2 linked regions of the Diceros bicornis minor genome follow. The protein of the gene in region 1 purifies or fractionates together with the protein of each later gene. This does not show direct contact. Links are inferred from orthologs where the notes say so. Each region holds a gene or a part of one and is shown in the gene's direction. Other genes may lie near its edges. The genes, in order: EZH1 and AEBP2.

Region 1 (15,148 bases):
GTTCCCTACACACTCCCTTATTCCTCTTTCCCTACCCCACTCCCACCTCTAGTGCTTGGGAAGAGAGGATCTGGTGCTGGTCCAGCTAGACATTGACTTGAGATTTCTGGCCCCAACCTAGAACTGACTTCTCCTGGGTAGGGGTCTTATGGCCATGTAAATTTCCCTCCTTATTATGGGCCAAGGGCCATCCTACTTGGAGCAGGGGGAGAGGTGACTCGATCCTTACAAGGAGTGCCGTTTCTAATCCTCAGACTTTCCCCTACACACACATATAAATCCAGAGAAACCTAGGGGGAAGTAAAAAGCCCTGGGGGCCTCCTACACAATAAAATTACATGCAGAGCATCCTGGAATTAGCATCTCTACGGGTGTAGAGACATTCACTCATGCTGGCCTCTCCCCAGCTGTCTGCAAAATAAAGAGCAGAGCACAGGAGAGGCCGTGGGGGAGAGTCAGGGTCAGGGAAGCCAGAAGTCCTGGCTGGGAGGGGCTGATGCTTGCAAGCTGGACAGAGGAGACAGACTTCTTCAGAGGGAGGCAGCAGGGAGAATCAGAAGAGCTGCAACCAGGAAACCAGCTGGCTAAGGGAGGGAAGACTAAGGGGTAAGGACACAACTCCTTCATCTCTCCCTAGCCTCCTCATCTCCAGAATGATGGCACACTTGGTATGAGGAGCACGACCACCTCTCAGAGGGAAGAATGGTCATTGGAGAAAACTTTGGCTCTCAAGTTAGCAAAAGGCAGAGAAAATGGTCAAGCCAGATTCCTCTTCAATTGCTATGAACTTAGTAGTAGCTACCACTTATTGAAAAGTTGTTATGTGCTGCATAGTGTGTTCCCCGACACATATGTGGAGTGCTTTTCATGCATTTCTTAAAACCTTACCATAACATCAGAATTGTCTTGTCCATGGGTGAAATGGGGAAATAGGAGTGATTTGCCTAAGGTCCCAGAGGTAGTAATTGGGAGTGAGAATTTGAACCCAGGACTGCTTGATAGTAAGCTTCATGTCTTCTTCTTCTTCTTTTTTTTTTTTTTTGTGCAGAAGATCAGCCCCAAGCTAACATTCATCCTCCTCTTTTTGCTGAGGAAGACTGGCCCTGAGCTAACATCCATGCCCATCTTCCTCCACTTTATGTGGGACGCCGCCACAGAATGGCCTGACAAGCAGTGCATCGGTGCGTGCCCGGGATCTGAACTCAGGCCGCCAGTAGCGGAGCGTGCACACTTAACCGCTACGCCACGCGGCCAACCCCTCGGCCAACCCCTAAGCTTCATGTCTTATTTTTTTTATTTATTTATTTATTTATTTTTTTGTGTGTGTGAGGAAGATCAGCCCTGAGCTAACATCCATGCTAATCCTGCTCTTTTTGCTGAGGAAGACCGGCTCTGAGCTAACATCTATTGCCAATCCTCCTCCTTTTTTTCCCCCCCCTAAAGCCCCAGTAGATAGTTGTATGTCATAGTTGCACATCCTTCTAGTTGCTGTATGTGGAACGCGGCCTCAGCATGGCCGGAGAAGCAGTGCGTCGGTGCGCGCCCGGGATCCGAACCCGGGCCACCAGTATTGGAGCGCACACTTAACCGCTAAGCCACGGGGCCGGCCCGAAGCTTCATGTCTTAACCATTATGATTTATCACCTCCCTCTCACTTCACATCAGGATATTGATTCCTTGCTGGGTCTTGAAATTTGGAGAGAAGGATAGAGTGTTTCTTGCAGGACCAGATTGACCCCTCCAGAAATAAGAAGATCCTGCTTCACCCAACTACATGCACACAACCTCCTCCCACCTCCTTCCCTGACCCAGGCTGGACCATGACATCACGTGGTGGAGGCTGTTTTTCTGAAAAGGACCCAGGCCAGATTTATAAGAACGACGTTCAGACAGCGTGACTGAAGAGGACTGTGGCCAAGTGACCACAGCACACACCCAGCAGTACTGAGAACACTGCTGGTCCCTCAGCACCTGGGGCTGACTCATGGTTGCTGTCAGGAACCAACGCCAGATGCCAGGATTGCTTTCACCCTTTCTCTATTCCTCAGGACTGTCCTATGAAACCATCCCCAAGAACTTTCTACCTCCTCCCAACACCCCACGATGCTGGATGTTATATAACATGGGGATGCCCTGAGGATGCCAGGCAGTATCCTCAGTGCTCCATACAAATTGTTTCATTTAAAACTCACAACTCTATTAAATAAGGTACCATAGCAACTCACTTTACAGAAGAGGAATCTGAGGCTCAGAAAGGTTAAGTGACTTGTCCAAGGTCATGCAACTAATATTGGCAGATACCCAGGTGTTCTTGATGCTGAAGCCTGAACACTTAACCTCTGCTCCACAATACTGATGGAAGTCAACCTGCTAGCCAACCTGATAGACAGAACCAAATAGGAAGGGATGAGGAAGGCCGGCCAGAAGGGCAACCAGACAGGGCTCCTTGTGGCACAGTGGGCCTTACCCACTCAGTACAAACCCTCTTCTGACAACGCTTGCTTCACCTTCAGACAGCATCTTTTCACATCCTTTCTCCTAGGACCTTAGTACATTGGATGAAAAATGGAAAAACCCATGACATTATGAAATAAATAATTTTCTAGATCATAACAAGGATCCAACATATGTTAAGCAAAATGACACTAGTAGTGCATGTGTGTTTAACGTGTGTGGTGTCTGTAATGTGAGTTTAAGTAATACTACAAAAGGCAATATTTTCCTCATCTGTAAATTGGGGATAATAATGATATCTATGATTATAAGATATAAAGCTCTTAGAGCAGTAGTTGGCCCATAGTCAGTGCATATTATTATTATTATTTCTATTGCTTTAGTGGTTAAGAGCACACACCGTGAAGTCAAGCGGACTTGAGTTTGAATCCCAGCTCCATTGCTGTATGTGATGTTATGCAAATTACTTAATTCCTCTGAGCTTGTTTCCTTATCTGCAAAAATGGTGTTACTAGTGTGTATCTCACTGAGCAGTGGAGATAATGCATGTAAAGCATTTGGCCCAATGCTTGGAGCTAGTAAGCATATGATAAACAGTAGTTACTAGCATAATGTGTAACATATATAGTTATGACAACTATATTTCCAAGACATTCTGGGATCTTTCCAGTTCTATAATTTTGTTCTTTTCATTACACTAAACTTTTTTTATTTAAAAGAATACAGACTTTGGAGTCAGACAATCCTAGCCTGGATTTGAGTTCCAGCTCTCCTACTTACCAGCCATGTGGCCATGGCCAATGTTGTCAATATCCCTGAGCCTCAATGTCCTTCTCTGTAAAATGGGGATAACAATACCTACCTCCCAGGCATCTCACAAGGATTATGCAAGATGATTTAGGTTCACACCCAGTGCAATGTCTAGTGATTACGTGAATTCTAAAGGTGATATGTTAAGTATATAAATAAATGTGATTTATTTTTGTTCCTTTATGTACAATGTTATGGATATGAATCTGTAGATGTATGTATTGTACTTTTCTTGCTCCAAAAGGATCTCCATAGCCTGGTATCCCATCCTAGCCACAGTGGAGTTCAAAGGGCCATAGCATCAGCCTCATGGGACCCTGCTGATAAGCCAGGGAAGAGAGAAGGGGAAGTCACAGGACCAAGGGGAACTCCCCTTTCCTGTCTGGCTAGGATTTGTTTGTCTTCCACATAGGCTGTTCCCTGCTGATATGGGGGTCTGTTGAGTGTCTGGCTTTGATTGGCATCTCTAGTACAGAAGAAGTAAGGAGCCCCTTGCCTTTCAGCAACTATTTTCCTCTGAACTTGCAGAGTAGAGTCCCAAACATGTTTCGCCTTCTGGCGCTGCTGGTGAGAGCAGAAAGCCATGGAGAGAATCCAGGATCATGATGTCAGAGATAGAAGACCTCAAAGAAAGGAGGAAGTAGAGCGGAGTGGTTCAGAGCCTGGGTTTGGGGGTCAGAATGACTGGGCCCAAATCCTGGCCACACCCCTTACCAGCTGGGTGACCTTGGGCAAGTTCCAGAATCTCTTTAAGTCTTAGTTTCCTCAGCTATAAAGTGAGGATAATAATATTACTGACCATACAAAATGAGATGATCCAGAGTTTAAACTTATAACAGCACTGAGCACAGTGCCAGGCACATACTGAGTGGTTAGTATTTGAAGGCTATTATCATTTTTCTAGTTCTGCAGTTTTACAGTTGGGATCCTGATGGCCAGAAAGGAAGCACAGCTCATTAGCTGTCCACCAGATCAGGGCTACTTCCCAGGCAGGGCTGTGCCAAAGGCGTGTCCCGTGGGATCAAGGCCCTGCATTAACTGTGCTGAGAGAGTGAGAATGGGCAGCACCACCCTAGCTGTGGGGTTGGAGCTTTCAGAGTATGTGCAAAGCAAGGCATGAATCCCACCAGAGTAATCCCCCAAAGAGAAAGTCCCTTCCTTCTGGAAATATTTATTTTGTAATTAACAAAAGCTAAGGAGGCCGTTTCTATTATTTTGGCTTGGAGGATCAGAATTTAAATTCATAACAACTACAGACAAGGGTTTATTGTGGGCCTGTTCTTACTTGCTGAATTGAATGCATTATTATTATCCCTAAGCAAGTAGGGGTCAGGAGCTAAGTACCTGGGGCGGAAAGCTGGGTTTTTGAGATCAGAGGACAAGTTGTCCGAGAGTGGAGAGGCTTCAAAAATCGAGCCATGTTTCCAGGTTCAGTAATGTCCAGACCTCAACTTGCTTTGGAGCTGCCTTTGCCACTAAGTGTTCAGGGAGGGGTCTGGCACTTCAGCTGGCCCCACCAAAGCCTGGGCAGCAGCCCCAGTTTCTGGTGACCTTCATCCAGGCTTTTAGGTTGTGCTTTGCTTTGCTTTGTTGTTTGTTTCTCCACAGCAGGGTGGCCTTTCCCTGCTTCTGGGTGGGAACTGGGGGGAGGGAGATGGTTTGCTCCCATTTCCACAGCTGTGTTTATACTTCCCTGTCAGGGACTGTCTCGGGCCCAACCTTTCTTCAGTCCTCTGTGTCCCTCGGAGAAACTCTATTTGATATCCCTGTGGGCTTCACAAGGGAGAGGCAGAATGAGCCAAAGGATCATCATCCAAAGAAGGCTGGAAGGAATAGTACAGAAAGCTCTGTTTGAATGCTGGGAAGCATCATCTCCTTCTCTTTCTACCAGTGACCTGAAGACCAGCAGGGGACAAAAGTACACTTAGAACTTGCCCACCCCAGGGGGCCGGCCCCGTGGCATAGCAGTTAAGTGCACGAGCTCCACTACTGGCGGCCCTGGGTTCAGATCCAGGCATACACTGACGCACTGCTTGTCTGGCCATGCTGAGGTGGCGTCCCACATACAGCAACTAGCAGGATGTGCACTACGACATACAACTATCTACTGGGGCTTTGGGGAGAAAAAGGGAAAAAAAAGAGGAGGATTGGCAAGAGATGTTAGCTCAGGACCAGTCCTCCTCAGCAAAAAGAGGAGGATTGGCATGGATGTTAGCTCAGGGCTGATCTTCCTCACACACAAAAAAGAATTTGCCCACCCCAAGAGGAACCATACACATGACATGTCGTTTCTAATCACTGGGTTGAACAAAATCTTGCTTTGTGATGAGGATGTGAGTGCACAGAGCAGAACAGTCTTCCCTAAGGCTTCATTGGGGCCAGTGGTCAGAGATACAGCATGTTAAAGCCAATAAGATCATGTTTAAACACATGCAAATTAAAAAAGATTTAAGAGGGGCTGGCCCTGTGGCTTAGCGGTTAAGTGCGCGTGCTCCGCTGCTGGCGGCCTGGGTTCGGATCCCGGACATGCACCAACGCACTGCTTCTCTGGCCATGCTGAGGCTGAGTCCCACATACAGCAACTAGAAGGATGTGCAACTATGACATACAACTATCTACTGGGGTTTTGGGGGGAAAAATAAATAAAGTTAAAAAAAAAAGGATTTAAGAAAATGGTCAAGTAAATAATGCTCTTCTTCTCCAGGGAGCAAATTGAACTGGTATTAATCAGTATACTAGTGTTGCCGGACTCTCGGCCAAGCCTGGGAGAATGGCTGCCAAGGCAAATCAGGCATCAAGTTTCAAAAATTAAACACATAATTTTATTTTTCCGCAATTGAGAACTCTCAGAAAAAGAACTAGCTCTATTAGGCTACTCAGCACACTTTGTCCAGTTTCTTTCAGCCCCAGAGGCCTCCAATTTAAGAACAAGATGAGCAACTGGAAGCCAAGAGTGACACAGTTATTCCTTTCTCCTATTAACTGCCTGGGGGTGGGGCTAGGAGGAGTGGGGCAGAGTTGATGGTACTGTTTTTCAAAGGTCCAGTTGCTGACCACTTGCCAACAGTTTTTCTACGAATTTATAGGACAAAGACCTGAAGGGCTGGAAAAGAAAAAGTTGTAGAGGAAGAGCTGGCCAAACAAAGGTTAGCTGATAATGTCTCATGGACCATGGTCAGCTAAGAAAGAGCCTAGTCTCAGGAAAAACTCTCTCCCATCACAATGAGGAGAAACCAATTGGCACGCAAATTTTCCCCAAGAACCGCATGCTTATTTGTGATGTAAAAAGTTGTTTTTATAATCCTCCAGTGAACGAGGATTACTAAACCCTGGGCTTGGTCCTATGCCACGTATTGTGGTGGATATGAAGGAGGAATACGGCACGGTAGTGAGTGTAAAGTGGTACTAGAGTTGAAGCACGGGGAGATCCAGGAGAGCTGGAAGGCTTAGTGAGGAAGTGGAGCGTGAGCTTTGACATAAATCTCCTCACCTTCCTTCCTTTCCACCTCAAATATTTCTGTAACCATATTTTCTTTGTTGTCACAAAATTTCTTTGTATCTCTCCTTTTGTCACTGGGCACACTCTCCTAAGGCAATACTGTCCACTCCCATGTTGTTAGTTCCCATCAGTATGTTGATAGTTCCCAAATCTCCAGTCTCAGTCCTGACATTCAGATCTTCTGAACATCTCTCCTTAGATAGTCCACATTCTTTTTTGCCCCTGCTCCCCGCCTTTTTAACCTCTATTCTTTATTTCAACAATTATTTAGGGCCGGCCCCATGGTTTAGCGGTTAAGTGCATGCGCGCTGCTGGTGGCCCGGGTTTGGATCCTGGGCGCGCACCAACGCACCGCTTCTCTGGCCACGCTGAGGCTCTGTCCCACATACAGCAACTAGAAAGATGTGCAGCTGTCACATACAACTATCAACTGGGGCTTTGGGGGAAAAAATAAATAAATAAAATTTAAAAAAAAACAATTATTTATGTAGTGTAATAGTTCTCAAACTTGGTTATACGTGGAATCACCTGGGATGCTCTTAGAACTTTTGAAGACCAGGCCATATCCTAGACCAATTAATCAAACTCTCTGCAGGTGGAAGGCAGGCATAAGCAGTTATTAAAGCTCCCCAGGTGATTTTAATGTGAAGCAAGTTTAAGAACCACTGATCTACAAGGCAGTGGGAATGGAAAGGAACATGTTGCAAATTGTCAAGTATGAAGGAATATTTGTCTTGATTTGACAATTAAGTGGACACAGGCAAGAGAAAAACAGCAAAGTCAAAGTCTCTGATATAAGGAAAAGAACACTAAATCTGTAATTGAGAGACCTGAGTTTAACACATGACAGAGCAATTTTTCATCTGTGTAAGGCAAGTCTTTTAACTCTCTTATGCCAGAATAGCCTTGTGTATAGAACTAAAAGCCTCCCTACCTACTTCATAGAGTTGTTATGAAGATTATTTGAACAAATGAACATTATAGGCTTTTGTAATTATACTCGGGGACAAATTCAAAGTAATGTTATTTTGTATTGTAAGTTTTAATTTTTTAACTTTATATTTTGAAATTCAGGTTTACAAGCATTGCAAATGGTGGAGAGTTCCTGTATACACTTCAGCCAAATTCCTCAAATGTTGAGGAAGTACAATTGCCAAAACCAGGAATTAAGATTGATAAAATACTATTAACTAATCTACAGACCTTATTCTAGTTTCATCAATTATTCCACTGGTATCCTTTTTCTGGACCAGGGTTCAATTCAGGATCACACATTCCATTCAGTTGTCATGTCTCCTCAATCTTCTCCAATCCAGAAAATTCCTCAACCTTTGTCTTTCATGACCTTGATGTTTTTGAAGATACTGGCCAGTAATTTTGTAGATTGCCCCTTATTTTGGATTTGTCTGATGTTTCCTCTTGATTTAATTCAGCTTATGCATTTTTTCAAGAATACTACAGAAGTGATTTTGTGCCTTTGTCATTGTATCATATTGAGAGGTACCTAACAAGAGTATCTCTCATCACTAGTAATGTTAACTTTGATCACTTGGTTAAGGTGATGTCTGCCAGATTTCTGTCCCATGTAAAGTTACTACTTTCCTCTTTGTAACTTATAGGTTACTTTGTGAGGAGTTACTTTGATTCAAGGCTATTAATTTGAATCTAAGTAACTGGGAAAACTATTAACAGAAGTAGGAAAGTCAGGTTTAAATAAAGCAAGAAGGGTTACTTAGAGCCCACAGACAGGTGTTTGGGGGTACTGAAGGTATGAGGGATCAGTATGAAGGGGTTGCAGGCTGGTTTCACATGCTGAAGTGAGGCGTGGCTCGTCACCAGCATGCAGGGCTGGTGCAACCGTTGGATAAGGTCTTCAAGAAGATATTAGTTGCTCCAGGTTTCCCAAGAGCCCTCCCTTTCCCCTGACAGCGCCACCTTGGAAACCGTAGGGCTCGCGCTCCACCACCTCTGACCCCTGAGTTCGGGGTACTGGCGCCAAACGACAGACGTGCGAAGAAGGAAGCCCAGGTGGCCCGACCCGCGGGGCGCGGGCAGTGCAGAGCGCAGGCGCCGGGAGGAGGCGCGGGGCGGGGCCGCGGCGCGGGGGCGGGGCCGCGGCGCGCAGGCGTGCTGGCGGCGGGTCCCTGCGGCTCGGGATGGAGGGTGAGTGAGTAAACAAGCCCGGGCCGGGCGGTGGGGCCGGGCCTGGGCACCCCGCCACCCGCGGCCTGCGGGAGGGAGAGGCGAAGGGGTCCGAGAATTGGGAGGAAGCGAAGGGGCACACTGCCTGCCTGGTCGGGGGTAGCGGGGCGCCCCTTCCCCGTTCTAGGGCTGGGGGAAAGGGGGCGACGGGGCGAGAGAGCCCCCGACGAGGACCGCGTCTGAGGCGGGGAGGGCGGCGTGTCCGGGAGGAGGAGCGGCAGGGGCGGGCCTGGGACGGGGAATCCCGTTGGAGGGCGGGGTGGGCCGGGTGGGCGGGAGCCCCAGCGTAGAGAGGGAGCGGGTGGGCGGTGGCACCTGCGGGGGCCCTTGGCGAGGTGGACTCCCACGGCCCTGGGCCTGTGCACGGGCAGGGCCAAGAACGGTGGCTCAGCTTGTGATGACTTTGGGGGTGTTGGGGAAGGGGTGGCAGTGAAAACCGGGCCGGGACTAGGGTGAGGCGAGGCGAGTGAGGCTCCTAAGGCGCAAAATGTTCGGAGGCGCTCACTCCCGGGGTCGTGCCGGTGCCGCGTGCCTCCTTAGGTTTTGCGCGCTGGGCGCCTCGCTCGCCTCACCCCAGTCCCGGCCTTGAGTAAGAGGCTTCTCTCCAAATTTGGTCTCGCGCCAGTCCCTGCCCACCCCAGAATTCTCCTGGGGATCAAATGATAGAAGGCAAAGCGCCTTAAAGCAAAGGCAAGGTGTTGTATGTGGGACATGCCTGTTAGGAAATGTGAGACAAACTTAATTCGGTAAAAAGTGACTCCTTTGAAATTGTTTCAGGGCCGGGGAGGGGAAGGGATGTGGAAGGATTTTAGTGCCGCCAGTGGAATAGCGAGAGTGGGCTTTCGATGGGTGAAATACAGAATGGTAAATGGAGTAGCCTAGGTATCGAGCCCGGGGCCAGAGGCGCTCGTGAGGATGAGGGAAAAGAGCGGAGGTAGACGAACAGCTGGCTGTGTGCGAGGACGGCGTTGCAAGTGTGGGTCTCGTCCTCGACGTTTGCTGTCATGATGTCTTGGAAGAGAAAAATCTCCCCACCTGATGCTTTTAGGTTTAGGAAACCGGCATTGAATGACGTTTCCAGCCTGAGAAGGTGCTAACTCTATCAGAGGTTTCTGAGAGAGCTTGTCTATTTTAAGCCTTGGAATCCCCAGGGCTGGGATGGTGGGGCATTGATAAAAAGAGATTTCTTACTTACATAGAAGAGAGTGTGTCTTAGGAGAGAAGTCCTTTTTTTTTTTTTTTTACACATTTATAATAGAGGAAAAGGACCATCTATAAAAATGTAATAATAGTTATTGTCAAGGTTTGTGCTGAGTGTATCACAGACAGTGTGAATAAACTCTCCCAGAGCAGGGATGTTTGTCTGTTTTATTCCCTCATGTATCCTGAGCACCTAAAGTAGTGCCAGGCACACAGTAGGTGCTCAATACATGTTTGTGGAATAAATAGTGAGAAGATCTCTGGGACTAGGAGTCAAGAGATCTAGATACTAGTTCTGCCGCTAACTGGCAGAGTACTTGTAGGTCAATCAAGGAATTTGATGCTAAGGCACAGCTTTAAAACTCCTTGAGGTGCAAATGACCTCTTCATTATGGTGTTAATTCTCTTTGAAACAGCACTGGAATAAAGAGCCTAGGATTAAAAATGAAATGTTACTCCCGGGAATACTTTTGTGAGAAAGGAAAAGGTGAGAACATGTAGTCGGACTTGTTTTTCTTATACTTGCCTTTGAATTAGCATGCCTTTTAAAAACTATTTAAAATATTAATTCTGTTTATTTAATTCTTGAGATCTGAAATCTGGCTTCCTTAGTCCTGTGGGTAACAGTTCCTGCCCTTGATTTGTGCCTTATAAGAAACGTGTAACAATTCACTTCATTAAGTATATCTTTTTCCTCTCTTATACTAAGTTTTAAAAGTTTCAACTTTGTTGAGGCAGCAACACTAAAAACACATTACATTTCTTCATAGGATAGTTAAACTAAAGAGTAAAGAGAAAAAACAGGTGGAGAGGTGAGGAGAATTATACCAGTTAGATTAGGATTGAGGGGGAGAGTTTAAAAAGGAAAAACTGCTCTTAGGGAAAGTCCCCATTCCAGAAAGTCCCCAGCTTTTTTTTTTTTTTAAATTTGTCCAAACTGTGTTGGGCTCCTTCCCACCTCTTTAGTCGATCAGCTGGTGGTCAGTTGGGGCTTCAGTGCTCCAAACCTTAAAGTCAAGAGTTACTTAATGAGTAGTTGGAGTTAGTACATCTGATGTGTTATGTTCTCTGACTCACTTGCCTTAATACTTTGATTCAAAATGGAATAACTAAAAAGTCATGTTTTTATTGAATGATAATGAGCAGTCACTAAATGTTAAGCTTTGTGCTAGCATAGTACAGAACCAGCTAAGGTAGGGTCTAGCCTATTGCCGAAACTCTTCTAAATCAGCATTGTACATTCTAAGAGCCAGCGTTTTCCTTTGGGTCTAATTGTCTGCAGTGCAAATGACCTGATTCTCTTAATAAAGCAACACTAGAAAATATTAATGCTATAATTTTGTTTTAAATAAGAATTCAGGGTCACAGCTTCCTGTTAGTAAGGTTCTTTCCATGTGTATAGTGCCCAAAGCTCAAACTAATAACAAACGTAAATACCTTGGAGAAGTGGGAGGGTATAAAGTAAACATGTGCTTAGTAGATCCTAGTTGAAGGATCTGTCGGGCTGTGTACCTAGCCACAGAGTTGATTTTCATGAGAGCGTTGATGAAATTGGTGATCACCAGAATGACTCAATTGTGCATTACTAGAGCTCTTTGCAGAGGTAGGTTCACTCCTACAGTTCATGTTTCAACGCCACCATGAACTGAAAAGAAAAGAATGAGATGGAAAATTTAAAAATCTATAGTACCATCTGCCTCCAAAGGCTTACCTAGCCTGCTGGTTAATAAAATTATTTGTTATAAAAGAGAAAGTAGTAAAGACATTGAACTTGCCCCTCAGACAAGCCATTTCTGCAAAGGGCCGCCTTTGTGTGGATGAAAGAACTTCATAGTATGGAACTTTTATATTCTGACCTCAATCTCTCTAAGTTTAAGAATATCGTTCCAGGGCCGGCCCTGTGGCTTGGCGGTTGGGTGCGCGCGCTCCGCTGCTGGAGGCCCGGGTTCGGATCCCGGGCGCGCACCGCTTCTCGGGCCATGCTGGGGCCGCGTCCCACATGCAGCAGCTGGAAGGATGTGCAGCTATGACATACGGCTGTCTACTGGGGCTTTGGGGGGAAAATAAATAAGATCTTTAAAAAAAAAAAAGAATATTGTTCCTTAAATGTTTTATCCCCAAACATTTCAATAATGTTTTCCCATTTCCAACTAGTGACAGACTACATTCTAGTGTTAGCCTTTGAAGCAAATTGAGATCCAATTTTCTGGGGAAAGATTTCCAAGTTTTTATAGCTTTCTTTTTCTGTAGAGATCTGACACATAAATAAGGTAGTTCTTATTTCCAATTATCAATCTTTTTTAAAAATAAACTTTATTTTTTTAGAACAGTTTTAGATTAACAAACAAATTGTAAATATAGTACAGGGAGTTCCCATAAACCCACATCCAGTTTCCCCTGTTATTAACATCTTACATTAGTATACATGTAACATTTTTTTACAGTTAATGAACTAGTATTGATCATTTTATTATTATTTATTCTGAAGTCACTCGAGTTTTTTTTTTTAAGGTGGAATTGCCTAAAGATTTTTAATAGTAAAAATCTCTAGAAAATACTGGATTGATCTATTATCAAGAAAGACTTATTTTTTCTTTAATCAGCTTTATTGAGGTAAAAATTTACATACAATAAATTCACCATTTATGTCTATATTTCAGTGAGTTTTCATAAAAGTATGTGGTTGTGGGCCGGCCCTGTGGCTTAGCGGTTAAGTGCGCGCGCTCCGCTACTGGCGGCCCGGGTTCGGATCCCGGGTGTGCACCGATGCACCGCTTCTCCAGCCATGCTGAGGCCGCGTCCCACGTACAGCAACTAGAAGGATGTGCAGCTATGACGTACAACTATCTACTGGGGCTTTGGGGGAAAAATAAATAAAATTATGAAAAAACAAAAAAAGTACGTAGTTGTATAACCAACACCACACCAAGGTATAGAGCATTTTCATCATCTCAAAAAAGTTCTTTTATGCTCCTTTCCATTTAATCTCTTTCCCCAACCCCAGCCCCTGGCAACCACTGACCTGCTTTCTGTCACTATAGATTTTCCCTTTCTAGAATCATTCTAGTAGAATGTTATGTAAGTGTAATCATATAGTATGTAGTTTTTTGTGTCTGATTTCTTTCACTTAGCATAATGCTTTTGAGCTATGTTGTGCATATATAGGAACTATTCATTCCTTTTATTGCTGAGTAGTATTCCTTTTTGTGTATATACTGCACTTTGTATCCATTTGCCAATCCATAGTTATTTGTATTGTTTCTACTTTTTGGCTATTATGAATAAAGATGCTATGAATATTTATGTACAGGTCTTTCTGGGGACAAATATTTTCATTTCTCTTGGATAAATAATTAGAAATTATATGCCAGATTGTATGGTAAATATATATTTAACTTTCTTAAAAAACAAAACAAAACTGGCAAACTGTTTTCCGAAGTGGCTGTACCATTTTGCATTCCCAGCAGTAATGTATGAAGATTCCAGTTGCTCCATATCCTCACCAACAACTGGTATTATTAGTCTTTTTTTTTAGCCATTCTAGTGGGTGTATAATAGTATATAATTGTGGTTTTAATTTGCGTTTCCCTAATGGCTAATGATATTGAGCATCTTTTTGTGTGCTTATTTGCCATTTCTGTATCTTTTTTGTTGAAATATCTGTTCAAGTTTTTTGCCCACTGTTTATTGCGTTCTTTATCTTATTATTGAGTTGTAGGAGTTATTTATATAAAGATTTATTTTTAAATTTCTTGACCAAAACAGTATATGTTTTTGAGTTTATTTTCAATATATAAGTGAACATAATGAAAAGCTCTTAAGTACTAGCTTAGTATTTAACTGGAATATAAATGCTGTTTTGCATGTGTAAGTAGCTAAAGAATAGATCTAATAGAAATATAAAGTATTTTTTGTGCGCCACTCCTTTTGCCCAAGATAAATGAACCCATTTCTCCAAATCTTTTCTAGCAAAAGCTGAGTTTTCTGTTTGTTTTAAATCTTTGAAGTGATAGTTGTTGAGTAGTGTCCATATGCTATAAGAACCCATCTTACAGCTATGTTTCAGGTGTTTATTTTAATCATACCTATCTGTTCCAAACAGTGTGTCTCATCTTTCTAATACAGTCTGTGGGAGCTGACCAACTGCCGAATAAATTATTAGAGACGTAGAAGACCCATTAAAAAGCCAAGTGAAATAAATATTGGCTCCTGGTCACATGAGACTTAAATATCACTTTAATTGTAAAAGGAGGAAATGTGGCTTGTTTTACAGTATGATTGAGTAAAACTCGATGGCATTTTTATGTATATGTGCATACTGTGGCCAAAAACAGCACTTGAGTAAAATTAGAAATAGTGCCATTAATTATTGGACTGTTGTGGTATGTTTACTGTCATCTCTTTTGACAGACTATAGGAGATCACATTTCAGTTACAACTCCTTTCTTTAAGAAAAATATCGATATTTTCCTGTGGCCATCTCCTCTAAGAAGTGTACACACACCTCCCCTGGCAGCTCTGGATTATGTTCTTTTCCGTTACCTGATCTCCAGTTTTAAATGGATGGAGCAACCTGCCCTAATCTTACTATTTCAAAAAGGGAAATGAGTTCTGAAAGAAATGGGAGAGGGATTTCAGTTCAAAACCATTTTTTTTAGGAGATTATGATGTCTCACTGAATTGTAATCTATGACATTTGGGTCATTTGGGTCTCAATGAGGGTAAACTGAGGTTTCTGAGGGAGGCAGTTTTGTCCTAGATTTGAACCATTTTTTCATTTCCTGGAGCAGACTATTATTAAGCTTGTTCAGTGCAGAAGTTATATGAGCAACTACTTAATATTACATGTGACTGTGTTGTATGTTCTTAAATATTTTCATCATTCAAAAAAAGGTCCCTCTTTTGGCCCCATTCCGTAGAGGAGTGACAACTATTTAAAAGATGTAGGAGGAAGAGAGATGGTGCAATTTGTAGGAAAGAAAT
Region 2 (15,138 bases), on another chromosome or scaffold:
TTAATTTGAGTAAAGGTTAAGTTGTCATTAAAAAAGAAAGGACTCTAAAACTTAGTAGCTTAAACAAGACAGAAGTTTATTTCTCTGCCATGTAACAGCCTGGCCAGTTTAGACTGGCATGCAGCTCTGTACCACAAAGTCTCTCAGGGGCTCATATTTTTTCCATATTGTTGCGCCACCAGCACTACATGTTGAAGTTGGGTCAATGGCACAGCCTGTTCCAGCGCGTGGCAGAGAAAGTCAAGAACAAATTAGGTAGAAGTTGTACACATTACCTCTGCTCACATTCTCTTGGTGAGAATTTAGTCAGGAACTATCACTAAGTATTAAAATTTCTGTGATTCAGTTTAAAATACTGTATTTCAGTATAGTTAATAGGATATGATGTATGTGCCAACAATGTAAGCTTTGATTCTATACAGGGTCAATGAACATGCTAAAGAAAAAAAAAAGCCCAGTTCAGCAGTCTTCAGCTAGCTGTAGATCAGAAAGGGACATACTCCAGGGGTTTCTGCTAGAATAATCTACTGTAAAGATCTCCGTAAAGCCTTGCTGATTGCCATACTGAATGTAAAAATGGGTTTTGTATTGAGCAAGCTAGTGATTTGTCAAATAGTATGATGCATGTTAGAAACTGGGAAATTAAAGTTACTCAAGGTATGAGGATTGTCTACAATAGTTAGGAGACTTTTCTTATGTTTGCATGAATAGCAAGTTTTGTTATCTGATACATTAAGGATGCCTGCTGATTCCTAAGCTGTCCTATGTTGAGCCATTGGGATTTCTGATTCCATCATGGTGACTAGAGGGCACAGAATCCTGTCTCTAAAATGTTTTTGTGTGGGCCGGCCCTGTGGCTTAGCCGTTAAGTGCGCGCGCTCCGCTGCCGGCGGCCCGGGTTCGGATCCTGGGCGCGCACCTACGCACCGCTTCTCCGGCCATGCTGAGGCTGCATCCCACATACAGCAACTAGAAGGATGTGCAGCTGTGGCATACAACTGTCTACTGAGGCTTTGGGGGGAAAATAAATAAATAAAAATTAAAAAAAAATTTTTTTTTAATGTTTTTGTGTGTCTTGAGTTCATCTTTCATTCAGCATATCACCAGAGCACCTAAAAGGACAAAGAAAGCTAGAATTTCACCAAGCTTGCAGGACTGGTTATGTTTACATTTCTTCGGTAGCTACTATTCTCTACCGAAAAGAATCTAACACTTGGATTGACTAGATATATTTAGGTTTATTAACTGAGTGTAAGGGAGCATAAAAGAGGTTGGGAAATGTGGTCTCCAGCTGGGCAGCCATGTGCCCAAGAAGAGAAGGAAAAAAATAGTACATATATGGTCTTTCCCTCCCTTTTTTAGGACACCTAAGAGTCTGCCATAGTGGAAAGCTTAGCTTGCCTAGGGAAAAAAAATGAGTGCGGATATAAATAGTTTATAGATGGAGGGGCAGGAAATTGAAGGACCTGAGGGCCTCAGATTTCTGGCAAATAGGAAACCGTGTTTGTTTGTTTGTTTATTTTACCTGCATTAATTACGATATTGACTTGGCTGGTTTAGAAGAGAGAAACTAGATAAAAGATTTCTTTCTCACGCACAAAAGGTCTGAGTTGTTAGTCTGTAGGGGTGAGTGGCATGGCAAAATGAGGTAATCCGGAGACCCAGGCTTCTTCTCTCTGTGGCTCTGTCATCCTAGGGTGTAGTCCTGCTATGCATGGTTGAGGCTGGCTCACTCCCACCATCATGTCTGTGTCTCAGCCCACAGACAGGGCAGAGGAAGAGTGAGAGAAGGGAGGGCAAGCAGCTTCCTAAGGAGGATGTGATCCCTTCTGCTCACAGTTCATTGGTCAGAACTTAGCCACATGGCCAAAGCTAGCTCTAAGGGTTGCTGGGAGGTCATGTGCTCAGCACATACATAAGGTGGGAGTGAGGGGGGAGGAGGCTTAGCAGGTTCTGCAAAAACAAAAACTAAACGACCCAACAAAACTCACTTGAAAAAATAATTTGAGGTAATTTACCAAGATGTATAGAGGACTACAAGGTAGATATAAAAGCAAGTAATGAAATAAGGGACAAAGAGAAGAGGAGGAAAAAAGAGGGTATGAATAAGGTTAGTAGTCAAATAGATGCCATATATACTTCAATAAAGGAAGGGAGTGGGTCGGGTTTTTTTGGCTTGAAGCCAAGGTAATTTATCCAAACTGCTAATACACTACTTTTATATTTCACCCATTAAATATTATGTTTAGATTCTTTCCTGCCTTCTTAGAGATTTGATGGATAAAGTACTAACTGGTATTGTAACTTGTATGCTACAATAACTAATCCATCAAATTCAATTTTAGGGCCGGCCCGGTGGCAAGGCAGTTAAGTTCGCGAGTTCTGCGTTCTGCTTCGGCAGCCGAGGGCTTGCAGGTTCAGATCCTGGGCATAGACCTACGCACCACTCATGGGGCCATGCTGAGGTGGCATCCCACGTGGACGAGCTGCAACTCTACAACTATCATACACAACTATGTGCTGGGGCTTTGGGGCAAAAAAAAAAAAGAAAAGAGGAGGATTGGCAACAGATGTTAGTGCAGGACCAATCTTCCTCCAAAAAAAAAAAAAAGAAAGAATTCAATTGTAATAATTGAGAGAGTTTTCAATGTTGAATAAAGTTATTTGGTTAGCAAGTTAGATATAAAATATATGAAAAGACAAAAAAATGTGGTGTTTTTGTTATTCACCTTTCACATTTTACCTACCCTTTCATAGACATAGGAAAATGAGAAACTATTCAAAATACCAGACATGGGTAAATGATCTCCTTATTGTGGAAAGTTGCCAGCCAAAGCAGTTATGTCTCAAAATGGCTATACCGCCAGAAAATTTAACACAAAAACTGTCATCATTATTTTGTTGGGTTTTCATTGGATTACAATCTACAGATTGGGGAAGCTTTCATCAGATTTCTAGTTCTTTCCAGCCTACTTTTTTTAGACTCCAAGTCAATCAGAGAATGAGGTCATACACTGCCATTGATCTTGCTCACTAGGGCACTATCAACACGCAGAATGAGGAACCTGAAATAAAGGTGCAAAACGTGAGAGAGTTGCATATTTTAGGGACATTTTCAGAAGTATCTTACGGGTGGTGTAGCAGCAATCTCAGCTTGAATTTAAGCTGAGTCTGTTGCTGGGGTTCAAGCATGTCTGGGCACGTTGAGCAAACTGGTGAGGCAGGACTGAAAGAAACCTGCTGACACGGGGGCTGAGACTGCTTCCTAGAACAGGCTCATTTTAATGAAAGAGAGAATTAGACAGAGAAGCCCTATAAGAAAGACTTAGTCATTGGATGGGGAGTAATAAATACAGCTTGGGGTAGCTGTTACTCAGAGCTGTCGCCAATCTAGGCCCATGAAAGCATGTCTGGGTCCCTAAGAGAAACAGAGCTCTGAGTAAAAACATAAAGAGGTGTTTCATGACCATATATGATATTGGGCACAAGCAGTCTGCTTCGGGGTTTCCCTAAAAGAGGTCAACAGAGTGAGCTCCATTTCTCCAGGCTACACCATGGTTTTGGCTGTTTTGCAGGTAGGAGCCTGCAGGGCCTGGAAGAGTAGAGCAGGGGAGGAGGGCAGTGAGAGAGGAATGTGTGAGCACAGGAGAGACCCTTATCCCAGAGGCTCCCAGAAAGCTGGAGGTTTCCTGTTAGTAGGCCTGGCAGGTAGAAGAGCCAGTGAAATTCAAGTTATCATTGCTAATGTGACCCCCATTAGTACCGTGGTCAATGAATTTGAATACTATTCCTAATCAAACACTCTTATGCAATGGTGTGTTATTGGGTAACTTATAATTACACATAGAATCACACGCTCTCCCACCAGGAGGGAGGGAACTACAGAACGGTGACTCTCGATCTAGGAAGGACCAATGTACATTTTTAAAAAATTTCCAGTGGACTGATACTCTTGCAAAATACAGCAAAAGTGAATTACCAGAATAATAAAATAAACGGATGGCCTCAAAAATATAAGCCCCCATTTTTTATCAGATTCAGCAGGCATAAAATTACTCTGTCAAGTTGTTATAAAAGTTTCCAGAAGCTAATTTCAGTACTTGTCTAGATGCAGACCAGGAAGAAACAGTTTGTGCATGGGCACTGGTCTGCAGACTCTGCTTCTTGCAGTTTCATCCAACTTCTCACCTGATGTCTCCTGAAGGAACTCCGTCACCCGGAAGTCCTGTCTCTAGTCACACACTTCAGTGAGTGGGATAATGACACTGTGATACTGTGGTTGTGTGGGTGAGAGGCCTTGCTCCCAGGAGATGCGTGCAGAGTAACGATGTCCACAACCAAGCCAAGAGGGAGAGAGACAAAGGGAGAGGGGGTAGAGGTAGGGTTAATGGGAGAGGGAGAGGGAGGAGGAGAGAGGGGGAGGAAAAGAAAGAGAGAGAGAAGAACACAGCATCCACAAATGTGGCAAAATGTTATTAACTGACGAATCTAGGCAGGTGTACAGGTGTTTATTATTCAATTCTTTCAAATTTTCAGAAAATTTGCAGCTAAAAAAAAACACAACTCTCCAGTATGGGAAGTGCTCTATTTTCTCCAAAAAGTCAATTCCAAGATAGCACATTTTAGTCTTCAAGTCTAAATACCGCAGCTAGAGCATTCATTTTTGGCTTTGATACTTGCCATTTCCATGTGTCTAATCTCCATTCATTTTTCACTCTATCTTCTATACATTAGATACCCTTACAACATAACTTTAATCATATCATACCTTTTTTTTTCTTTTCTCTCTTTTTTTTTTGTGAGGAAGATTGGCCCTGAGCTAACATCTGCCAATCCTCCTGTTTTTGCTGAAGAAGACTGGCCCTGAGCTAACATCCGTGCCCATCTTCCTCCATTTTATATGGGACGCCACCACAGCATGGCTTGCCAATCGGTGTGTCGGTGCGCGCCCGGGATCCGGGCCAGTGAACCCTGGGCTGCCGCAGCGGAGCACACGCACTTAACCGCTTGCGCCACAGGGCCGGCCCCATCATATCATACCTTTTAAAAAATATCTCAGTATATACCGGTTGTCTTTCCAAGTCAAACTTTTTTTAATAATTTTATTTATTTATTTATTTTTTCCCCCCAAAGCCCCAGTAGATAGTTGTATGTCATAGTTGCACATCCTTCTAGTTGCTGTATGTGGGACGCGGCCTCAGCATGGCCAGAGAAGAGGTGTGTCGGTGCGCACCCGGGATCCAAACCCGGGCCGCCAGCAGTGCAGTGCGCGCACTTAACCGCTAAGCCACAGGGCCGGCCCTCCAAGTCAAACTTTTTATTCAAGATTTTCTGCAATCTAACCTTTAGCTCTTTTTGAGCTTTCTCATGGTTAATTAACACTGTCATGAATAAATTTTATGCTTTTGAACGTTATTGGTTCTCAGTCCTAGAATGCCCCCTTACGCAGAATTCTATTTTAGACACTCTTCAAGATCTGGCTGAAATTAATTAAATTTAGATGTAGTTATACATTGTACTATACACATCTTTTCAAATCCCACATTCTTCATGAAGTTTTCCTTGATAAACTCAGTCAAACATTAATCCTAATCTTCAGGGATTAATACAGTGCCTGGCACATACACTTAATATGCATTTTTCAGTTAAACTCTAATAGGTCTTAATTTATTATACAGGATGCTAATACACTCCTTGTCTATCTCAAAGGGTGGCTTTGAGGTTAAAATCTTTGAGGTTAGTATTTTGCATTGTATGTGTGCGTGAAGGTATCTATAAACCATAATGCCCCACACTATTACATATTATTTTTATTTTTGCTTTCCCTTAAGGCAACATAAGGAACATATAACAGCTGTCCCAAGGCCTAAGACAGCGGAAATAATACTGGGGTACTCAAGGTATATGAAGATTTTCCACGGCTCATGTGTATGAGCAGAGACTCTGTTTCAAGGCAATCAGTTCTTTGATCCTCACTTCCCTTAGTAGGCATCCCCAAAACTGACCTGCCTGAAAATGTGCCCTGGGGTCAGAGTGTAATGTGGGCTCCTTTCCAGCCTCCCTTGTCCCAATCGCCCCTCCCCTACTTTACAAAAGAAAGGCATAATTCTTCCCCATCCCAAATCTTACTCAGGTGCAATACCCTGGGGATTCAAAAAAACCTCCACTACACCAAAAAAGGAACAATTGACTGGTGAATGAGAATGGGTAACACATCCTTTTGCATGTCAGGTGGTTGTCAGTAACTTGCTTTCAACAAAGTTGAAAGAGAACCTAATCAGAGTTGTCAGCTGATAGACTGTCAGTACTTTTTTCTTTGTTAGATCTTTATGAGATTTTTTGGCATATAATTTGGAAGGAGTTCAAAGAATTGAGTGGCATTACTATAACAAAACTCCATTCATTCTCATCTGCTTATTATGAGAACAAGTTTTCTCAATGTTTATATCCATGAAATTGAAAACTTGGAATAGAATGGATGGATGCTGAACTCCTCATTCTAGTAATACACATCCACTGATAAAATAAACTAGTTGAAAAAAAATTCATCCAATTCTTTCTCTGAAAGATGCACTTCCAACAAAATTTTACTTTTGTGATTAATATTCATTTATAAATATTGGAAATATATTTGTTCTGATCAGTTGAAATAATAAGACAGAGTTTTATGATCACAGGAAATTTAAAAACTTCTTAAATTTCAATTTATAAACACATTTTTATTACAAGGAAATATAAGATCATCAAGGAAGCAGTTCAAATATAGAATATATTATTGGGGGCCGGCCCAGTGGCTTAGCGGTTAAGTGCGTGCGCTCCGCTGCTGGCGGCCGGGGTTCGGATCCGGGCGGGCACCGACACACCGCTTCTCCGGCCATGCTGAGGCCGTGTTCCACATACAGCAACTGGAATGGATGTGCAACTACGACATACAACTATCTACTGGGGCTTTGGGGGAAAAATAAATAAATAAAAAAAAATCTTTAAAAAAAAAAAGAATATATTATTGGGATAAATTCTGGAGGGGATGAGGAATGTAAATATGAGTTCCAGAAGATGAGGGAAGGATGGAAATTGCCCAAGTGTACAAAAGATTATATTTTAAAAAGTGGATATTGGTGGGTAGTAAATCTCAATGGTATTTAGAGTTCATCAGTTACATTTAAAAATATGTACCACTTATAAACTATTTATAACAAGCTGGAAGAAAATGCAGATGTCACTTTAAACTGGATAAGGACGTACAATATCGTTTTAGAGGGCTCCTGAGCTAAAAAGCTTGAAGACCTTGAACGTAAGAGATGTTTGCTCTGAGACTGTGATTTAACCATTTTTTGGAGTATTCAAACGCAGGTTAGATGAAAACCTGTGGCTCTGTGTTGCTCCTATGGATTTAGGACCTGGCATTGTATTATTTATTTTTATTCATTTTAATCTCCTCTCTGCGTAGATTGTAAGCTCCCAGAAGCCCAGGGACTTCTTCGATTCCTGGCTCAGCGCCTGTACACAGGGGACACTCCCCAAACACCCCCTGAATGAATGACTTTATCGTGACAACTCAGAGGGTTAAAATCCCCGGCTAGCACTCAGGTTTTCGTTCTGCGTGTCTCGCCCGCTGCTAGGCTGGGGAAGGCGTGGGAAGACCCCGAGGAAACTCTGAGCACTCGCCGGTCTGGGCGGGGGCCGGGCGAGGACCCGGGCGGGGGCCAGGGCGCGGAGCCCGCGGCCCGAGGGAGGCGCCACCTCGTGCCGCCGCGCAGGCGCGCAGCCGTCTCCGCGTGAGTGCGCGCAGTCGCGCGCCTGTCCCCGCGCGGGCTCCGTAGCGCGTGTGCAGGCTGACGCAGCTCGCGGGCCCTCCTCCTGCTCTGCAGCGGCGTCGGCGGAGTTTTGGGCGTTTGGGAGGGGGCGAAGGAGCGAGAGTCGAGAGAGGGAGGCGGCGGCGGCCGGGAGGAGGAGGAGGAGGAGCAGGCGCCGCCATGGCCGCCGCTCTCACCGACATGGCCGACCTGGAGGAGCTCTCCCGCCTGAGCCCTCTGCCCCCTGGCAGCCCCGGGCCGGCGGCGCGGGGCCGGGCGGAACCCCCCGAGGAGGAGGAGGAAGAGGAGGAGGAGGAAGAGGAGGCGGAGGCCGAGGCGGTGGCGGCGCTGCTGTTGAACGGCGGCGGCGGTGGGGGCGGCGGCGGCGGAGTGGGGGGCGGCGAGGCGGAGACGATGTCGGAGCCGAGCCCCGAGAGCGCCAGCCAGGCCGGGGAGGACGAGGACGAGGAGGAGGACGAAGAGGAGGAGGACGAGAGCAGCAGCAGCGGCGGGGGCGAGGAGGAGAGCAGCGCCGAGAGCCTGGTGGGCAGCAGCGGCGGGAGCAGCAGCGACGAGACGCGCTCGCTGAGCCCCGGCGCCGCCAGCAGCAGCAGCGGGGATGGGGACGGCAAGGAGGGCCTGGAGGAGCCCAAGGGACCTCGGGGCAGCCAGGGCGGCGGCGGGGGCGGCAGCAGTAGCAGCAGCGTCGTCTCCAGCGGTGGCGACGAGGGCTACGGGACCGGGGGAGGCGGAAGCAGCGCGACCTCGGGGGGCCGGCGAGGCAGCTTGGAGATATCGTCGGATGGGGAACCCCTGAGCCGCATGGACTCGGAGGACAGGTCAGTGCGCTGAAGCGTGTCCCTTTCCTTCCCTCCTCTGGCACTCCTGGGCCCCTCAGCGTGGGCCAGGGGGACTTTTCGCCGAGATCCCCTTGCTCCCCTCATCCTCAGCCCCTCCCCCAGGCTCTCAACTCGGAAATCTCTCCCGGCCGCCGCGCCCCTCTCGCAACGGATAGCGGCTTCCAACTCTCAAGCTGTTCCCCCCCCCAACTCTCCTTACCCCGCCCTCTTTTCCCTCGGCTCCGCACTCCTTGCGGACCTGAGGACAGCTCTAACTCGGAAACAGTCCCCAAAGTAGGGTCAGGTCCTCGGGCGGGGTGCAGAGGGCCTCGATGTACACACATCGGTGCACAGGGTTAGCTTCCTCCCACGGTGTTCGCGAACACTTGTCACAACTGTAATTGACAAGTGTTTTCCAACATGGCTGGTCTCGCCTGGATTTAACAGAACTTCCTTGTTCAGGAAGGAGACCCCAAGTATTCACTTTTCTTTACTTAAAAAAGAAAAGACTGTTTTTGTTATGTTTAATCAGTGCTTCCCAAATTCCTCGTGTAGTCACTAGTGTGGTCTCCAACGTGATTGTAATAACTTCTTTTTGTGTTGTGATCAAATCTGGGAGAAAGTTTAAAACATGTATAAATCGTTGTAGAGAAGAAGAATGAATTGGCGTCCTTTAAAATAACTTTGAGGAATCAGAGAGTTGGAATCGTAACAAAATACAGTTTAGAAGGTACAGCATATTAATATGCGGTTTAAAATCTTTGTAGAGTAATGCTTCAACGTGAGAGTCATGATTTTAGATGATGATATTTAAAGTCTTGTATTGGGGAGGTCTCTGAAGGAATTAGCTTTTTTCTAAAGCTTGTTAGATATAACGTGAAGACTGACAAAATTGCGCTTCATTTTTTCGGGACATTAAAAAAATTTATTGTAATAGTTCAGTTGTTACTATCATTACTTTTGATCTCTTTGGAAAGCTTCATATTTTAACTAATTGGTTTTTAATGTACTTTTTTAAACAGAGAACCACATCATGCATTTTATACTGCTTCTAAAGTATATTAGCATTTATTTTGACTGTCTCCTAATGTTTTGATGAGCAGTAGAATTTTTAACAATCGATATTGACTTGGACTTGAGTTTAAGTGTTCTAAAGTTCTAGGAATTCCGATTGTTAACTGATGAAAATGAGCACTTTGGTTTATACTAAATGTTATGAGGAGTATAAGCCCTAAATATTTTGAAAATAGAGGGTTAGGTTCTGTTTGATATTTACTTTGATATCCAGTTAAGCAAACATCTTGTATGGGATAAACTAGACTCTACAAACCTTAGAAAAATCGTACTGAGCTGTAGAGTCGTAGGCAGGAAGGAGAATGTCTTCAAGAAAACTAAAAATTGGTGTGAACTGCACAGTGAAGCATGTGCTGTTTATCATTTATCATTATATGCTCCTTCACTGCTACCAGCACATATTTGCAAGTTGATGTTAGTTTGTATGATTTCTTCTTCAGTTCTTCATTTATCTAGTACACTCACACACACACACACACACACACAGACACACTTGCCTAGCACTGCACAATTTAAATGTCTCAGTATTTCATTCTCACAACTCTGGTGCAAGATAGGTATTATTTTGACTTCCATTTAGCAGATGAAGAAGCCAGTGGAGTGTCTTAAAACAGTAAGTATAGAGTAGAAGTGGTGGAGCTGGATCTGAACAAAGGTTCTCAAGTCTCGTGCTATTTCCACTTCACAAGAGTTAGAATAATTCATCTTAAATAATGGGTTGTATGTGTCAGAGTTTTGTTTTGTTCTGTTTTTGAGTTAATATTTGTCCACTACATCCCTTTAGCAGACAGTGAATTATTGGTCAAGTAATAATTCAGGACGTGGAGTTTTGGCTTCATTAGATATTCCCTTGAATGTCTGACTTTTACATCATATTTCAGAGTAGGGAGTAAGATATTGGTGCAACAAGTCCAATTAAGGTTAAACATACTTGCTTTTCTTAATACTGTCATTAGAGACAACAAAATATTGCAATCATTTTGCCATTTCGGGGTAATAGATTTATGATTTGTAAGAAAAAGCGTTGCATTACCAGTGAAACTGATTGTGGTCTTGATAATCTTTATTCTGAAATGTCCTCTTGTTGCCTTTGAATTTTTTTTGTATTTTAAATTTGGAAAACATCCATAATTCTTATAAACTGTCCTGCAGATTATACCAATCTATGTGGATTTTATAGATTGATTTTATGGTAGGAAGTCTTTATTTTTGTAACTGATGTAAGGATATGGTGGTTTTAAAGTGCTTTTAAAGAAACTTGAGGCATTCCTATTACAATGATTTTATTATCATTAGAATTTACTCTTTCTATTGGAATTCAGTTTTTTTACCATTTTGAAATTAGATTCCACTTTTGAGTTTATCTAACATACTTTAGATTTTGTTGAACTCTCTTAAATATTTTTAACTCTAAGTCCTTTTTTAAAAAAGAACCAAATGTAAATACTTAGATATTAAAGCTTGTGATCCAAAGTGTCACTTTACAAACATGTATTGGAAGTGTTGTATGGTGAAAGGTGACTAATTTATAAAATGATTAAATGACGCTTGGTACAAAAAACATTGATTATTTTCCCCAGGAGAAAGTTACTTATTCAAAACCAGCATAAGTGTATTAGTGTTTTTATTTTGGTAAATTTAGAAAACCTTAAAGTTGATATTTAATTTACTTTTACTTTGGTTATAAAGATAATGGAATTTTCTTTGGGGGGAATATTTAGCTGTGCAAGACCACTAAAAACTAGTTTTTCTGTTACTTTGAACTTAAGCTTAAGTACTTTTTAATTAAGAAAATTTTTTAAATATATCTTTTAGGTTAGTTTTAGAGGCTAAATAAATTTTAAATAGAATTTTAGAATTTAAAATGCCTCTAAAATTTTTTTAGTTTACAAATTAGTTCTAGCTGTTGAATCAGATTATACATGAAAGTATTCTTAGCTTCTTATCTGTATATAGGTGAATTGATAATAGCCTCTATTTTGCAGTTGTTTCTTTAATATATATCTCGCCAACTGGAATATAAACCATGACTTATTTTGAAAATGCCAAGACCACTTTCAGCCATTTTTATGAGCCTTTCTGGGTAAGTCCAGATGACAAGTGAAAAGTGCATGTGTAAGGATGTGGTGATAGGGCAAGGGCATATAGTATGAAAGTTAATGGTCAGCAAAGGCCACAGGCCGTTACCATTTTGTGGGTCAAAATTTGGACTCCCAACCTCACGGGTTGCAAACTTTGAGATATAATTAAGATTGCTTTGACACTGGGAAAACAGACTTATAGTGCCTAATTTCCCAGTAGTATGATTGGGAAGATCTTTTTCTAGTATAGAGGCTAAACTTTTAAATCAGATTAATACTAAAAGGCTGCATGTTGAGGTTATCGTCAAGATTTATTAAGGATCTCTATGGATGAGGCAATAAAATACCTCTATGTGAAGTAATATTTTGGTTATATTTGGTGGTGGAGCTCCCTTGCACTGACTACCGCTTTTGGCTCTGAAGCAGCTGTCCATAGTCTCTCCAGACTCCCTCTTTTAGCTGCCCTTTTATTTTCATTAAGTGTAGGGAAAAGAGCTCTAAAAGGTCTCAGTTTTCATTAATAACATTGTAACCCTCAGTTAAGGAAGGTATGGCTCTGTGCTGAAAACTAAGCAAACAACAATAAACTACAGATTTCTGGGTTGCACTTATGGAGAGATTCTAAGGGCTCATTTTACTTTTAAGAAACATTAAGATTACTTTGTTGGGTCTTTTAGGGAATTCTGTGTGTAAGCTAGTTTGCAAACACAGGTATTTACTGTGTGCAGGACTCTTTACTGGGATTTTAGGAGATAGGAAGACAAAATGCTTTCCACTTCATCCATCTTGCATATTATTGTTAGGCTTTTAATTCCAGGGTGTAGGTTCATTGACTCTAATGTAAACATTAGAGATTTCACACCTTGCCTATTTGTGTTATTTATTGTTGTGTAACAGATTTCCCACAAATTTAGCAACTTAAAACAACAAACATTTGTTATTACATGTGGTTTCTGAGAGTCAAGAATGCAGAGGTTTAGTTGGGTGGTTCTGGCTCCGAGTTTCATGAGGTTGCAGTGAAAATGTTGGCCAGCTTGCAGTCATCTGAAAGCTTGACTGAGGCTGGAAATCCAGTTCCAAGATGGCTCACTTATGTAGCTCTTGGCAGGAGGCCTCAGTTACTCCCCAAATCAGTTCTCCATAGAGCTTTTTGTGTTCCTCATGACATAGCAGTTAGTTTCCCCCAGAGCAAGTGATCTGAGAGAGAGAGCAAGGAAGAAGCCACAGTGCCCTTTTATGACCTTAATGTATGTGCTCACATTTTCTTCTTCATAGAGCAGATAAGTTTTTCCTATTATTCTTTTTATCATAAGTTTTTCCTATTATTCTTTTTATCATACTCTGATACACAATAATTGCTTCAAATTTTTGTTGATTGAGACAGCCTTTCAAAACCCATCAAATGCCGCAATTACTATGTGATAGGTATTTATTCTACAGATGTACATAGAGCTCCCATTGTGTGCTGGGTACTATTCGAGGTGCTGTGTATACATCAGTGAATAAAATAAACCCCTTGACCTCATGGGTAGGGGAGACAGACTGCACAATTGAACTGATAATGGCTAGTAATGATCTGTTACCATTATTATGAAGCAATATAAGGTCTGAAATACCAAAAAGTACTGTACCGCCTGTTAAATAATGTGGCAAGTATCTGTAAATGAGTGCTGCAGAAACTTGCAAAAGGATATGCTAGACCAAAATATTTATTACAAAATTTACCTTTTAATCAGTTTTCTTTATCATATATACCTATTCTGTGATTGACCTAAAAAGCCTCGTAATACCTTTTATTTTTAATAGTTTTTAGTATGTAAATGAAGCTAACGATCTATTGGTAAAAAGCTTTGGGGTATGTTTTTTAGTAATGGAATGGATTTGTAGTGATCCTAACCACATGTTGAGTTCATTTTTATGACTAATAGTTTGCATTTGTGGAAATAATTATATTGACCTTAGAACTAAATGGATAGTTTTGGGCATGCATAGGAAATCAGATGAATGTTTGGATTTTTTAAAAGTCTTTTTTTGAGCATTTACTGATGGTTAACATTGTGCCCTGTTTAGTGATTAGAAAGAACTGTGATGGTGCCTTCCCAGATATTTATTTTTTATTTTTATTTTTTGTGAGGGAGATCAGCTCTGAGCTAACATCTGTGCTAATCCTCCTCTTTTTGCTGAGGAAGACTGGCTCTGAGCTAACATCTATTGCCAATCCTCCTCCTTTTTTTTTCTTCCCCAAAGCTCCAGTAGATAGTTGTATGTCATAGTTGCACATCCTTCTAGTTGCTGTATGTGGGATGCAGCCTCAGCATGGCTGGAGAAGCGGTGCGTCGATGCACGCCCAGATCCAAACCCGGGCCGCCAGTAGCGGAGCGCGCGCACTTAACCACTAACCCACCGGCCCGGCCCAGATATTTAGTTTTTAAAGAGAAGACTAAAAAGATGATTGCATTATTTTCTATTTTTTTTCTGTAAATTGTTTGTGACATAGTACATTAAAATTAAAACTGGGGAGTGTTGTAGTCAGTGACTAAAGTTTCCGTGGGAGAGAGGGGCTGGATTTTAGGGTTAGGTGAGTGAAGAGAAATTTCTAGAAGGCTAAATGAAACATAGGAAGGAAAGAGCCTAGCATATTTAGGAGACTTCAGATCTAAGATCCTGCCTAGACCAGAGGATCCACTGGAACTGGGAAATAAGAGTTAATGGCTGAAGTGGGGCCTTTCATGCTTACACAAGTATGCACATTTCTCAGTATAGGTTTATGAATCAGATTCTTTTGTCTCTCCCCAACTTCTGTCTTTGTAATTCCTAGTCATGTTCAGATCTTACCTTGAACATTTTTTCAGGCAAACTATCCCTGATTCTTTGTTAGACACATTGCCTGAACTCCAGGTTCTTCATTGCTCTTCTCACAACTTGAGTAACTATTTGCTGTTCATCTCTGCTGCTAGATTGTGCGCTCCCTGAGGATAGGAACTATGTCTGTTTTGATTACTGCTCTATCCGCAACACCTGGTACAGCGTTTGACACATATTTTAGGTATTCTTAAATATATTTTGGATGAATGATGAAACTCGTGTGATACGGGAAAATTAATCGTATGTGGCAAAGGTAGAGCAGGAAAGTTTGGGAGCTGGAAGACCAGTTAGCAGGTAGTATGAATAGTGCAGGTGTGAATGAAGGGACTTGAGCTGGGGTCGAAGTTGGAGGGAAAAGTCATGCTTGGGAAACTGAATCAAAGGAAAGAAAAGCTAATTTCCTGAGTGGTCTATAAGAAAAATATTATGTTACTATTTCTGAGTAAAAAGTTTTTTTCTTGAGGATTTTCTTCTGAGTAAAAA

Evidence for each region.
Region 2: the proteins of EZH1 (region 1) and AEBP2 purify together in Homo sapiens (affinity purification with mass spectrometry; 3 studies listed by BioGRID and IntAct, with this or other methods). This does not show direct contact. The link is inferred for Diceros bicornis minor from reciprocal best matches to the Homo sapiens genes EZH1 and AEBP2.

The regions. Positions count from the first base shown.
Region 1 is NC_080757.1:41,770,898-41,786,045, reverse strand, and holds the start of EZH1 (histone-lysine N-methyltransferase EZH1), read left to right. Parts: upstream 1-8,878; 5' UTR 8,879-8,926; intron 8,927-9,539; exon of another isoform or gene 9,540-10,055; intron 10,056-10,187; exon of another isoform or gene 10,188-10,652; intron 10,653-15,148.
Region 2 is NC_080756.1:42,356,120-42,371,257, reverse strand, and holds the start of AEBP2 (zinc finger protein AEBP2), read left to right. Parts: upstream 1-7,814; 5' UTR 7,815-7,976; coding exon 7,977-8,635; intron 8,636-15,138. UniProt on the Homo sapiens protein: Acts as an accessory subunit for the core Polycomb repressive complex 2 (PRC2), which mediates histone H3K27 (H3K27me3) trimethylation on chromatin leading to transcriptional repression of the affected target gene.